3 linked regions of the Oryzias latipes genome follow. The protein of the gene in region 1 purifies or fractionates together with the protein of each later gene. This does not show direct contact. Links are inferred from orthologs where the notes say so. Each region holds a gene or a part of one and is shown on either strand. Other genes may lie near its edges. The genes, in order: p53-induced death domain-containing protein 1, death domain-containing protein CRADD-like and ripk1.

Evidence for each region.
Region 2: the proteins of p53-induced death domain-containing protein 1 (region 1) and death domain-containing protein CRADD-like purify together in Homo sapiens (affinity purification with western blotting; 8 studies listed by BioGRID and IntAct, with this or other methods). This does not show direct contact. The link is inferred for Oryzias latipes from reciprocal best matches to the Homo sapiens genes PIDD1 and CRADD.
Region 3: the proteins of p53-induced death domain-containing protein 1 (region 1) and ripk1 purify together in Homo sapiens (affinity purification with western blotting; 3 studies listed by BioGRID and IntAct, with this or other methods). This does not show direct contact. The link is inferred for Oryzias latipes from reciprocal best matches to the Homo sapiens genes PIDD1 and RIPK1.

Annotation. Positions count from the first base shown.
Region 1 is NC_019864.2:15,844,123-15,848,699, forward strand, and holds the start of p53-induced death domain-containing protein 1, read left to right. Parts: upstream 1-1,635; 5' UTR 1,636-2,137; coding exon 2,138-2,783; intron 2,784-2,859; coding exon 2,860-3,273; intron 3,274-3,351; coding exon 3,352-3,504; intron 3,505-3,597; coding exon 3,598-3,649; intron 3,650-3,732; coding exon 3,733-3,934; intron 3,935-4,577. UniProt on the Homo sapiens protein: Component of the DNA damage/stress response pathway that functions downstream of p53/TP53 and can either promote cell survival or apoptosis.
Region 2 is NC_019881.2:23,808,949-23,813,484, reverse strand, and holds the start of death domain-containing protein CRADD-like, read left to right. Parts: upstream 1-1,267; 5' UTR 1,268-1,443; coding exon 1,444-1,741; intron 1,742-4,536. UniProt on the Homo sapiens protein: Adapter protein that associates with PIDD1 and the caspase CASP2 to form the PIDDosome, a complex that activates CASP2 and triggers apoptosis.
Region 3 is NC_019875.2:26,472,483-26,477,105, reverse strand, and holds the start of ripk1 (receptor-interacting serine/threonine-protein kinase 1), read left to right. Parts: upstream 1-1,529; 5' UTR 1,530-1,631; exon of another isoform or gene 1,632-1,879; 5' UTR 1,880-1,942; coding exon 1,943-2,103; intron 2,104-3,839; coding exon 3,840-3,996; intron 3,997-4,623. UniProt on the Homo sapiens protein: Serine-threonine kinase which is a key regulator of TNF-mediated apoptosis, necroptosis and inflammatory pathways.

The sequences.
Region 1 (4,577 bases):
CAAATAAAACCAACAAAAAACCCCAAAGCTGTTTCACAAAAAATACTTTCATACTTTCACATCTATGCTATACACATATAGAATAGACGTTAGAATAATAAATATGATAAATCACAACATTTGTTTCTCATTTTTAGTGAGGTGTTGCCACACAAATCACCTTATTGGTTCACACTAAGGTAATAAAAAAGACAAAAATATATATATATATATTTTAAACGTAGCAAACCCTTAGATTAGTTTATTTTGGATATTTAACAAATGGAATGATGAGGGTTAAAAACATGTCTGCAATTTTTTTTAGAAAAAGGTGATTTTCTGTCTTTTGGACAAATTCAAGATATATTTAGAATATCACACCAAGATTTTTTAGGTTTTCTCCAGAACTTTGTTCGGACCTCTCTTTCTTTCCCAGGTAACCAACCAATCCTACACCCAGTAGAATTCTTTCTTCTCAACTTGAATAAAAATGCCTCCTCCAAGAAGAAATTCCTTTCTCTCTGCTCTGCTATGGCATCGAACCCTCTCACAAGTGAGAAATCTGGGTATCGTTGGGAGGCAGATTTGGGGATTGAACTTGATGTTGAAACTTGGTCAAATGCTTTTGTGTGTACAAAAAAAACATTTACATGTAACAAACTCAGGGAAAACCAATACTGAATTTTACACAAGACCCAATATACTCCACAGGTTTTAGGATTCAACCACAACGCTCATCTCTCTGTATAAAGTGTAAAAACACTGTAGGAACTTGCTATCACTGTGTTTGGCAGTGTCAGTTGATCTCCAGATTTTGGCAAACTGTTGCTACAGGGATCCGCTCAATTTTTTCGTAAATCTTTTGCCCTGGACCCTACTTTGTTTCTTTTAGGCCAGTCAGGAAGGTTGCCTGTGTTACCTGGAAGTATGAGGTTGATCCAAAAACCTTTACACCTGCCTAGGAGATGTATACTGCTACAATGGATACAAGTGAAACCTCCATCCGTTACTCAATGGAAAGTTTGTCCGATGGAACGACTCAGTGCCCGGTTAAAGGGTAACTCCGACATTTTTCTACAAGACGTGGCAGCCTTATCTGGATCACCTCGAGAAATAGCTGATATACTTTGTTAAAGGAGGCTCACATTTTGTATTTCAAAGTAATAAGTGTTTTAAGAAAATATCTCAACATGTTATTCTAACCTAGATTTTGTGTGAACCTTTAACTAGTTAGATATCTGCTGTGCTGTGCTGGTTTGTGTTGTGTTCTTTTCTTACAAAGATAACAAAGTACAATTTAAAAAAAAAGATTAAAAAAATTACAGATGATATTTGAATATAACTTAAACCAGATCAAACCTACTGTTAGAGGAGGGCAGAAATAATTTATCCAGATTAGGTAAAGGATGGTTACTGACACTTATTTATCTAGAAAATAGACATGACACACTCTATTTACCAGGTTCTTAAATGATTAGACCAAAATATACATTTAGTTTCATATATAGAGGGACATTTGTATTAATTTAGATAATAAAACTTTTATTTAAAAAAAAAACAAGGCCTCACATTTTAAACAGTGATGACATTATTGTCACACAGCTAACATTTGTAACCAACAACGCCATCTAGTGTCCGTGTTGAGACAATGCCGCACACGTTTTCAAGTTGACAATGATGTCCCGCCCAGCGTTGAAACTTTGGCGGTGCCTTCACCGTGACGCTTGTTTTTGTTAGACACTGAACAAAAAGAGGGGCGGGACTTTCTCTCCACGCCATTTGTGTCGTGTGCAAACACCCGCCCCTCGCCAACCGGTAGACGCAGGAAATCTAAACGAACCTATAACTGTGACGTAATACCTCTACTTCAAAATCACTTGTTTCATCCGGAAGCTGTGTTTTTCGCTAGCTATGTAACTTTTTCGACAGTTGGTAAGCAAAAGAAAGAATGTAGCATGAAATAAAATGTAGTTCTAGTGTTGGCTTTAAAAAAAAGGCACATTCATTCCGTGGCTGGCTGAAAACGTATGTCGGTAACGGTTACCAGTTATCTTTGTTGCCACAGATTTGACATCTTTTCATCTGACGCACTAATGTAAACTTGAAAAGGACTTGTCAGTCGGCTTATTACTGTTGTCAAAATGTGTGAACTGTATTGATGGAGAGAGGCGGCGAAGGAGACCAAAGTTCTGATGAAGAAGAAGGTGGGGTCCAGGCGGCTGCTCAAAACACGCAACAGAATGAGTTGGAAGATGGAGAGAAGGTTGCTGCACCGGCAGCCAACCCGTTAAGTACACCAACCGAAGCTCAAAGGGAGCGGGGAACACTTTCAAACGGGGCTCAGGAGAATTGTGAGGAGGCTGGAGTCAGTATGTCACGTGATTTGATGCTTAAAAGCCAAGCAGGAGCTTTTGATCCAGAAAACTATGACAAAAGTGCATCTCCCTCAAGCCTTTTGGGTACTTGTGATCCATCCATATCAAACTCTTCATCCACCTCTTGCTCCTTCAGCCATCACGATATGGTGCTTTCATGTTCCTCCTCATCCTCCCATTCTTCTGGCTTGTCTCTGAGTCCACCATTGCCCTCCACCGTGGAGCTCTCGGCTGTGTTGACTGACACGAGACTGACCCTGGATGTGTACCCCGGGGGAGCAGGTGCATTGCCATTGCTATGGGGGTCCATTCCAGCCGAGCTGAGGGGCATCCAGTACCTGAGGCTTGGTTCTGAGGACAGATCCGGGCTGGACGGTGCCCTGAATGTGCTGTCAAACCTGACAGAGCTGCGCTCACTTGCTATCCGGGGTAATATTTCAAAGTATATTTGACATATCTGCAACGTTGTATTCGTTCTCCGCTGACCTGCCTTATTTTCTTTAAGGACACCGTCTGTATGACTCAAAGGGGACGCCTCTGCCTGGCCTCCTCACCACTTTGCCATCATCTGTGTCTTCTCTCACACACCTGGTGCACCTGGACCTCTCCTTCAATCAGCTGTCCTGTCTGCCGCCCTGCCTGCTGAGCCTGCCTCTGCTCTCCTCACTGCTGCTTTGTCACAACTTCATCTCGGCGTTGCCTCCTGAGATATGCCAGCTGTCCTCTCTAACCTACCTCTCCCTCCTGGGGAACATGTTGGAGTCCCTTCCTCCAAGTTTAAGTCAACTGAAGACACTGCAGGAACTTGACGTGTCGCACAACCTCCTGCAAAAACTACCTGAAGAAACCGGTGGTCTGAGTGAGCTTGTAAAGCTGGACTTGTCCCACAACAAACTAAAGCAGCTTCCAGAGAGCATGGGTAAGGGTTTAAGGGTGAGCAACATTTTTAATGATCTAAACCAACGTGAAGATATAATGTTCCTCTGTCCTCTTGCAGGATCTCTCTGTTCTCTCAGGGAACTTGTTATATACAGCAATCACCTCCGTATGGTTCCATCGTGTCTAAACAAACTGCCTCAGCTTAAAATAGATGCACGAGACAATCCTTTGGGAAAACCTCCAACACCTCCTCCTCTCCCTCCTACACTGGGTACAGATTGAAAGAAATCACACGGATTTTTCTCAAATAATTATCTGCTTCACACATTTATCAGCAGAACATTTGTTTAATTCCTTTAAACAGGTCGATCAGTGACAGAAATGCCTGAGTTGCACCTTGGATTTAATCAGCACAGGTACAGCGGGATAGTAACATTAAGAGCCATCTGATCATGTAATGCATTTGTGTCTATACTAAAGATTTGTCTATGTTCCATAGTTTTTGGGTTACTCCTGCTGGGTGTCATGTATTTCTTCCCGGGGGGGCTGAGCTGGTGTTCCCCTGCCGTTGCCTGCTGACAACTACTAGACTGAGCTGGGCGGAAAAGAGGCCAAACAGGAAGTGGGTGTGGCTGGAGGAACACGACCTCCTACTAAGTCGTCCACTGGAACTTCGTCCCCACGGTGTTGAATTTCTGAAGGTATAAATATGATATTCTTAGTTAAATGTATTTATTAAATGTAAACAACAATATTCAACCCAAACTAAATATGGTAAATGGTCTATACTTGTAAAGCGCATTTCTACCTTAGTCGAAAGCCCAAAACGCTTTACACTCTAAGTTCCATTCATGCACTCTACTGCCAAACACTGGCCCCAGGTTTCCACCAGAGGCAAGGTGGGGTTTAGTGTCTAACCAAAGGACACTTCGACACATGGCGGGAATTGAACCTGCAATCTTCTGATCAGAGGTCGACCGTCCTACCTACGGTGCACCACGGCCGCCTGGCAGTGCCCTCCCCCAAAAAAACCTGCTTTGGCAATGTCAACATCACGGAATATAACTTTATTTTCAAAAATAGTTTAAATCTGTAAATTTAAGATAATTAGATATATTCATTTAAAATTAATGAAATGAGCAATATGCATATGATTATTTGAAAAGAAAACACATTTGCTGCCTTTTACCAGTGACAAGCATGTATTTGGCTGCACGGTGGATCAGTGGTTAGCGCCCTTGTCGTCGTCAAGTCCTTTCTGTGTGGAGTATGCTTGGTCTCCCTGTGCATGTGTGGGTTTTCTCTGGGGACTCTTTTCAAAAACATGCTTCAAAGGTTTATGGG
Region 2 (4,536 bases), on another chromosome or scaffold:
GGGATCCGGTTCTCTCCTCTTCGTTCTGCAGGGTTCATCCTGGAACCAAGATGGATCATATTGGATGTAAAGCAGGATCATCTGTTATTAGTTGTTATTTTTGTGGTCAATGTGAAAACAAGCAAAGTAATATTAACAGATTATTGTTACGACCCTGCTGGTGCTGTCTGTGCCCCATCCACCCACGCCCCGGACAGTCTCAGGGGGGAAGAGTTAGGCAGAGAATCAAAGTCTCCTTTTCAGCATCAACGTCCATCTATTCGAACACACACAAACAGCATGGAAGGGGCTTGTGTTCCCAGCATTCTCACTCATGGTTTTCACAACAAGATTCCCCACTTCCTATGAGTCTTGGGGGCAGAAGGCGGGGCTTTCCCTCAGGTCGCTACATTATATTCACAGATTATATTTACAGCACTACGCAGGTTTTTATCCAAAAACATAAAGATTTATATCTGATCAAGGAGGAAAACTCGACTTATCTCCAAATGATCGTTTGGGTAGATTTGAATAAAGAGCTCAACTTTTCCTTTTTGACGTCACTATGACGTCATTTTAATCAAATGACCGTTTTGCAATTGTTCAATAAAAAATAAATATATAAAAATAAATAAATAAATCTAAATTGGAATTGTTGAATGCGGACATTTCTGTTCTACAACTTCAGTTCCGGTGTAGGTACCGGATGTTCTCGGGTTGCCGGATGTTCTCGGGGTCCTTCAGGGTCCTTCCAATGAGTTATATCACTAGAGGAGACATCACGTGGTTCCTCATGGGAGGAGAGCACCGCCATCTTGGTGAGGTCAAGTTTTGAAGCCCAAACCACTTTTATAACATTTAATAAAGAGCTCTGTTTTTGCTTTCAATCACTTCATTATATGAAAAAGAAGAATGGCTTGAAATTGCTTAGTTTTGTTCAGAAATACAAACTTCACGAGTACCCCTAACTTAACTAGTATTAGACTACTTAGATTTTTTCTATGTTCCTTTATTTTATTTTACTTATGTTTTTATTTATTTGTGTGTTATGTTCATTGTTTCTTTTTTCCCCTCTATTCTTTATTTTCTATGTTAATATGTTATGTTTGGCAATGGTGACTGATCTTCGAGGCAATATTGATTACATCGTTATTGTTCGTTGTTAACGTTAATGTCATTGTTAATGTATGATACCGCAATTGTCAATAAAGTTTTTAAAAAACTTAGCGACGTTAACTCATTGGTCGTGGCAACTTACAGCCAATCAAATAGTGTGACGTCATCATTGGTCGAAGGACCCCGAAGGACCCCGAGAACATCCGGCAACCCGAGAACATCCGGTACCCACACCGGTTTTGTTGTTTCCAGTCGGGCACAATAACATGGACGGACAATGACTAACTGGACCGGTTAGTTGGAGCTGGCCGCAGCGACGGACCCAGCACGGGTGTGGTTCGGGTTCGGATGGATCCCGCGCACAAAGCTGTGCTCCGGAAGCTCCGCGCGGAACTCTGCAGCCAGTTGATGGTCAGCGAATCCATAGTTCCGGTTCTGTTTCAGGAGGGCGTGCTGACCCATGCGCACGTAGAGGACATCGAATCGGAACCGACCGACACGAGAAAGAGCCAGAAGCTGCTGGACATCCTCCCGAACCGCGGGCCGCGAGCTTTCCCCGCCTTCATGCAGTCTTTGGCGGACTTCAGCTGGATCCGGGACCGGCTGGTGCACGAGCTGAGGACCGAACCGGAACCAAGAGCCGCAGGTGCGAGTGGAGTACACTTGGGAGCGGTGTGGTACCATAACCAGGGAGGAAGAGGAGGATGAGTTTAGAGCACCACTACTGTTCAGTGGTGTGATGATGACGTCAGAGAAATGGTGACAGTCAGCAGGTTTCATGATGCAAATCTGTTCGGTTTCAATCATTTCATGTCATAAAAATGAGAATCTCTGCGGCTCAAACTTAGACATATGAAAGTCCAATAAATGAAGATGGAAAAACATTTAATTGAATTGGAGTAAAATGACATTCAGTTAGATAAATATGGAAATTTGAGTTGTAAAAAAATATTGAGTTGTTACCAATTGAAATAATTAATTTAAGTTGGATAATTTTATAATTTATATACATATATATATATATATATATATATATATATATATATATATATATATATATATGTATATATATATATATATATATATATATATATGTATATATATATATATGTATTTATGCGTCAAAAGGAAAATGGAAATGAGATCAGAAACTCGTGCGTTTACTTTGTCTGTTCTACTCCAAGCAGAAACTCTTTCTTTGCTGATGATGCAGCCGTGTTACTTTTTTGATGGTCGTATAATCTTCATACGCCGTCATTTAAATCTCCGACTCCGTCTCACTGAAGTATAGCGCTCTCTTTGGTTCTCCACGCGTTTCCATGGTGACTCCAGAAATATGTGATCTATTGAAAATGTCTTCATGTACCTGGGGCCTGTTTCAGAAAGGAGGTTCAACCAACTCTGAGGTTAAACCTGAACTCTGAGTTGGTCAATCGAGAGATTAACAACTCTGAGTTTTCTGTTTCAGAGAAGCTGATCGGAGTTAGATCAATCAATTCTGAGTGGACTAATTCAGAGTTAAGCGTGCGCACCGCGACTATAAGAAGCCATTATCAATGGAGCGCAGATATTACGAGTCACCATGGCAACCGTGAAAAAAAGAGGTCTGCGTATTTTTCTCCAGCTGAACTTGACGTGCTGCTGCAGAGTTACAGTGAATATGAGCACATGTTCCAGAAGAAAAGCAACACCGCTGCATCTGCAAAACAGAGACAGTTAGCGTGGAAAACATAGCTGCTCAAGTTTATGCCTAAGTTTGCATTTAAATCATTGTTATAAAATATTGGCTGTAATAACTTTTTAAATAGCGTAAGGTGTGAAATAAAAAATGGTGATATTTAGGTTTACTTTTGAAGTGTTATTCCTGGTGTAATTGCATGAAATGCTGCATAGTGTACAGAACCAATCTGGGGGAAAAATGCATTTAACGTCAGTAATGTTTAGAGGACTTTTTTGTTAACCTTCCCCTCTTGCAAACGTTGGTCAGTTTAATATTAATACATGCAATTGTGTTTTTAAAAGTGACCTTTTGTCTACCCTTGTATTGATCAAGTGGTTTATATGGGATTAAGAAAGTAAGCAGTGCTAGCAAATTGTGTTTCCATAAAGTAATTGGTACATTAATGTAATTCAATGTCCCTGATTTCATTTTCATGTAGATTCAATCCTGCAGGAATTAAAAGAACATGGCAGCAGTTAAAAATGAAGTATAAAAACATAATTCAATCAGGTCAAAGTTGAGCATGTCATGGATGTAGGCATGTTGACAATATTTGACATATGAAACATCTACATAGCAATATCTAATGTTGTTTTCATTGTATATATGTAATTGACTGCAACGAAAAACGGTAACGCTCAAACAAAAACGTCTGGGGAAATGACAAAACATCGAGTCTTCTCAAAATCCTCGCACGACGTTAATGTAATTCTCTAGGAATTAATGCAGCCTCCTCGTCTATTGGGTCCTCCAGAAAAGGACAAGCCATTCTTGTCACTTAGACCGTCTCTGTGTGACGGAAATGTGGGCAATGAAGGTTAAAGTGAAAAATACCGCTTCGTCTTTAAAAAGGGGAGGGGACCGGCAGAAACCTTGAGTTTAGAGAATAAAACCTGCTCCCGACCAGGTTAGGTTCACAGCATAAGTAACCATGGACACTGACTCCGAGTATAAGTTACCTCTCTTTCAGAAACGGGTTTGACTTACTCTGATTACTCTGGTTTAACAAACCTCCCATTCTGAAACGGAAAACCCAGGGTTTCCCTGATTTCAGGGTTAACATACTCAGAGTTTACACTAAACCTCCTTTCTGAAACAGGCCCCTGCTGTGCACGTGCGTTAACCCAGGGTTACCAAGTGGAGCGTGATTACGCCAACTCATATCCGGTCTTTTGTAACCGACATACCCAGAGTAAGCAAGTTCAGGCGGATTTCAGCCAGAGTTCAGGCTTAAAGTCAGGCTAGTTTAAACATGCTTCCTGGAATACCCCCCCGTTCGGGGTCATGGGACTAGTGCTGACGTCACATGACGTGTCAGACAGTGATTGGTCTGTAAATGACCATACTACCAAATGTGACGGTGTGGCAGCGTCAGCTGGCGGTGCTTTCCACCCTGTTATTTATTTTATGTTTTAATGTCTAAGACTGACTCCTGCTATGTTACCTGGGAGGTAATGAAGGGCAACGCCCAATAGGAGGGGCTTATCATTCAAAAGGGAGCATCACAGGAAGTGAAAAGGGAGAGTTGGAGGGTGTCATGTGCTGATGTGGCCCCGCGTGGAGCGGTTTAGTGATGGCTTCTTGTAATAAAGAACACATAAAATAACTAACAGGGTGGAAAGCACCGCCAGCTGACGCTGCCACACCGTCACACCATAGAAGAAGAAATCCAGCGGTCCGTTGTAAACAAGCGGAGCGCCGACACAGAGCGAGATTATCTT
Region 3 (4,623 bases), on another chromosome or scaffold:
CAAATTAGGTGGTTTCCTGCTCTAGTTTCGATAAATGTTTTAACAATGAACCTGCAATTTAATTGTCAAATCTTCTTTGGCTTTCAACTGCTTCCTGTAGGGGTCGCCCCAACCTCAGCATCCTTTCACCAACATAATCACTGTCCCTCCTCTCAATGCGTCCAAACCATCTCATTTTGCTTCCCTGCATGCATCTCCAAAAAATGATCTTACTCCTCTGATGGATTAATTCCTGATCCTAGATCAGATGGGTAGATCAGATCCTAGATCACAAGATGATGGGTAGCCATCATCTTCAACATTCTTCTTCTATTTTTCAATCACACTTGTGGAACCTTTTTGACTCATTTCCATCTCTGTTCTTGAACAGCTTAACCTGCTGCACACCTATCCATCTCTGTTTTTGTTTTTGCCACGCAAGGCTGTACAGATCCACCTCCTTTTCCCTCTAAGAATACCTTGGACCACTTCATGCATCTTCCTCATGACTTTTTTCTTCTCCTCCAGCGTACATCCTACCTGTAAAGTCTAACCACAAAACAGTCAATTTTACACTTTCAACCTTCAGACTCCACTTGACTCTCTTCACCTCCTCCTTCCTCCGTCCATCTACATCATAATAAAACAGCTTGGACCTGTTCCACGTGTATAATTTTGCTTCCTTTCCCTCTGGTCTCTTGAACACACAGAATATCCACTGTTCTTCTTTCGATCATGTCCGCCAACTCTCTAGTTTTCTATGTCAAAGTCTCTGCATCCAAAGTTCCCACTCAGTCCTTCATTCCCGCCTTCCCTTTTCTTTCTCTGCCCACAAACATGACCGAAATGTGTCCAGTTTCCACATGTAGGTCAACAGCATCGGTGGTGGTGGTTGTTAACTCAGGTCACAACCAAACCAACAAAAGTTCTGTTTACATGTTTGGTTGGGTTTTGTTCATACAACAGATGCCCCTCCTTACACTGCATTTTACTTTGGCGTTTAATCACTGAATTGCGCCCCCTTGTGGTTGCATTTTTTTTTTCAAATTAGTTTGTGGATGTGTTAAGCTTTTATTTTAAATTGTTGTGTAAGACTTGTGTTCTTTTATAAAAAATAAAAAAAAACTGGCTTTCTGTGATTGTTTCAAAAAAATACCGTAAGTATTTTTTTTATTTGTTAATATTCTGTATTTGTGCAGCTGAGTTGCTACTGACCTTTTGATACAAAGTAAAAAATTCAAATCTAAAAATATATAGAATATTTGATTGAAATAATTTAAATCAGGATGCTGTGCACACTTGCACACTTAATTTAAGTGTTTACGTCTTAAACAGGCAGAGCCCAGATGTAGCTTTATCGCAAAATATTTACTTATACAAATCATGTTCTATATTTATTTATAAATTTAGTTCAATGCAGTCAAAGGTGCATTTTTTATGTCATTTTATTTTTATTTTATTTTTTATTGTCTCACGCTGATGTGATCAGCCTGTGAAATCTGAATCGACTATCTAACCTGGGTTCTTTCTCGGTAATCGACTTGTAAGGCTGCTTGTAGTTTTAACGGAATGTCGATAGTTTCACTTCAAGGAAATCCCGGAAGTCCGCGGAAGTGGCCGTCGTTTGAATTAAAGAACACCTGGAATAGAAGGTCACCTTTTAATTTTATTCTGTGGTGATGTCATTGAATGAGAAGTATGGCGGTTATAGTGTAGTTTCATTATTTCAAGTTTTTGCTGTCAAGAAAAGTTGTACTTGTTTACTTCCGGACGCCCCGAAACTTGAAGGCGCTCGCTTGTTTTGCCTCCTTTGGCTTTCGACGTGACCTGAAAGTTCCGGGAGGTTGAATTTGTGTCATTTCATGCTTAATTTCAACGTTTTGGTTTGTTTTCTACGAAGAGTGTTAGCCGGTCGTGTGTGTGGGAGCCTCGGCGTGTCCAGGTCTGTAAAGTTCTCGCAGGGATGGCCTCCGCGCCGCAAACCTCACTTCACATGAGGCCGACGGATCTGATTAAAAGAGAGCCGCTGGATTACGGAGGCTTCGGGGAAGTTTATCTGTGCTACCACGCGACCCTCGGCCAGGTGGTCCTGAAGACTTTATACACCGGTCCTCTGCGTAGCGAGTAAGTGTTGGCCTGATTGTCACCATGATCTGGGGGTTTCCCCCTGAACAGAATCCAGTTCTCAGGGATTCAGTTCTTTTATTGGAGCATCTGCATGTGAAAGGACATGACATGTGTGGTAAACAGTGGCAGATGTTCACATAACAATTAATATATATAATAATAATAATGACACTTTAACTACAGTGATTTTATTTCATTTAATCAGTGATTCTGAAATGTACCTCCAAAGAGCTGCCTTTACCAACAAGCAACTTTTATTTTGTTTGTTTGGGTTTTACAGTTAAAGTAATACATATAAGATCTCTATCTTCTGATCCTTTTGGCTTCTCCCCTCATGGGTCGCCACAGCCAGTCTAGGTTTAAACCAAGATCTTCATCTTTACTCAATCCATTAAAGGCCCACACCCATGAAAATAGCATTTGTGGCGTTTTTAACATGTTCCTGTTGTATTTTTTATCACGAAGGAGGACATGTATAAAGAAAATTAACATCAAAAATGCATTCTTTTATTTTTTTATCTAGATAGTTGTCAATCAGGTGTAGCAAAAAGCCGGGATAGGCTCCGGCAGCCCCGTGACCCCGAAAGGGACAAAGCGGTACAGAAAATGAATGAAAAAAGTGTAGCAAAAATAAATACATAGGTAAATAAAGCTATTGGAAAAAGCTTATAGGTGTGATGTAGAACCTACAACAGCAAGCCACAGGCTCCCTGCTCCGCTCTTTTGGATGAAGACAAATAGATCCATGTACGTCTTCCTTTTCCTCGTCTGAGCTGGAATCTGACTCAAAACGGGGCTGTAAGCTAGCGGGAGAATATGTAAGCACAGAGCTCTGTTATGGGTGACGGGAAGAGGGGCCGGGGCTGCACCAAACCTATAGTCCTGCTCACAACTCAGAGGTGAATTTTTAAGAACTACTGCTCCTCTGCAGAAACTATGTCCTAGAAAACGGTACATTTATCATGAAAAGACCACTGGGGACCCTTGGAGAATAGATCAAAAGATGACCAGACATCGACACTGAGCTTGTTTCTGGGTTTTATCCATGCTCATCAAAACAAACCTCAACATCTCCACCTCTGCGTCACGTCTTTATCTCTCTTTAAAGTCAGACCCCTCCTTAAAAAAAAAAAAAAACCTTCAAAAAAGAAAAAAAAGAACGTCGCTTTTATTAAAACTTCTGTAAATCAGAATCTGTTCTGCACTGAGAACTTCAACAACAAAATCAGGATTTCTGTGATAATTTTACTTTTCTGCAGTCATGTACTGTATAATCATAATCATTCTTAGTTTATGAGAAGAAACAAATTGGCTAACTGGTGCAGTGATTATCTTTTTATTTTCTGCTTTTTACTTATTTCAGTTTTTATTTGACCATTTATTTCTTATTTCATTGTTACGTTCATGCTGATGACAGAATACTTGGACAGTTTGTGTTAAAAAGCACTGAAGTGCATCATAGCGTTTCCATAACTTGTGAGTCTTAAACAGTGACATTTAATGTTAAAGGTTTGAGTGCGTAATCATTCTAAACAGCAGTAATGTTGCGCTTTCACTTGCAAACTGTGACTTAAAAAAATAAAAACAGGAAAACTGGAATAAGACTGAATCAGTTAAATTATGGTTTTGATCACTTATAATAATGAAGATTATTTTGGACCCTGCCGTTAAGACACAGGGGTGGGATGTTGTCTTTTCTTCATGCATCCTCTTTATAAATGGTCTTTTTCCAGAGAAAGTAAAAGGTCGCTGCTGGAGGAGGGGAGCATCATGGCAAGTCTGAACCATGAGCGTGTGGTCAAGCTGCTGGGTGTGGTCATGGAGGACAGGGACTGCTCTCTGGTTCTGGAACTTCTCCCTCGGGGCAACCTGTTAGTCATGCTGGAGACGGTACGTAGGCTTTTACATTTACTGTACAGCTGAAAAGTTGAAGCTAAATCATTAAAAAACTTGTGTCATTTTCTGGGACATAGTTTATGCATTAAAAATTCATCTGAGTTGTGGGCAGGACTGTTGGTGCGGAGCCACCCCGACACCTCTTCCCGTCACCCATAACTGAGAGCTTTCTGTTTACATGCTCTCCTGCTAGCTTACAGCCCAAAACACCCGCAACCCAACATGACTGGCGGAACAAAAAATGCTCCTGATTCACAGCGATTTGGAAAAGGAAATACTCAGAAGCGTAATTTTCTTCATGTGTCAACAACATGTTAAAAACACCAAACACACCATTTTTCATTATAGTCTGTCTTTAAATCAGACTCCAAATGACCCCAGTCTATATAGATGACTGTCTTCTGGCAAAAAAGGGCTATTGACGTGACGTTGATTGGCTAATGACGTGAAGGGAAGTATCCGATTGGTCAGATGTATAAACGGCTGAATTTGATCCTTCAACACTTCAAGCTGCCTTGAGATTATTTCATAATTGCATTTTCTGATATTGCAATAATGGCAAATGTTTGATTTATTGTGCAGGCTTAGTTTACTTAAATGATTCTGAAACCCAATAAACCT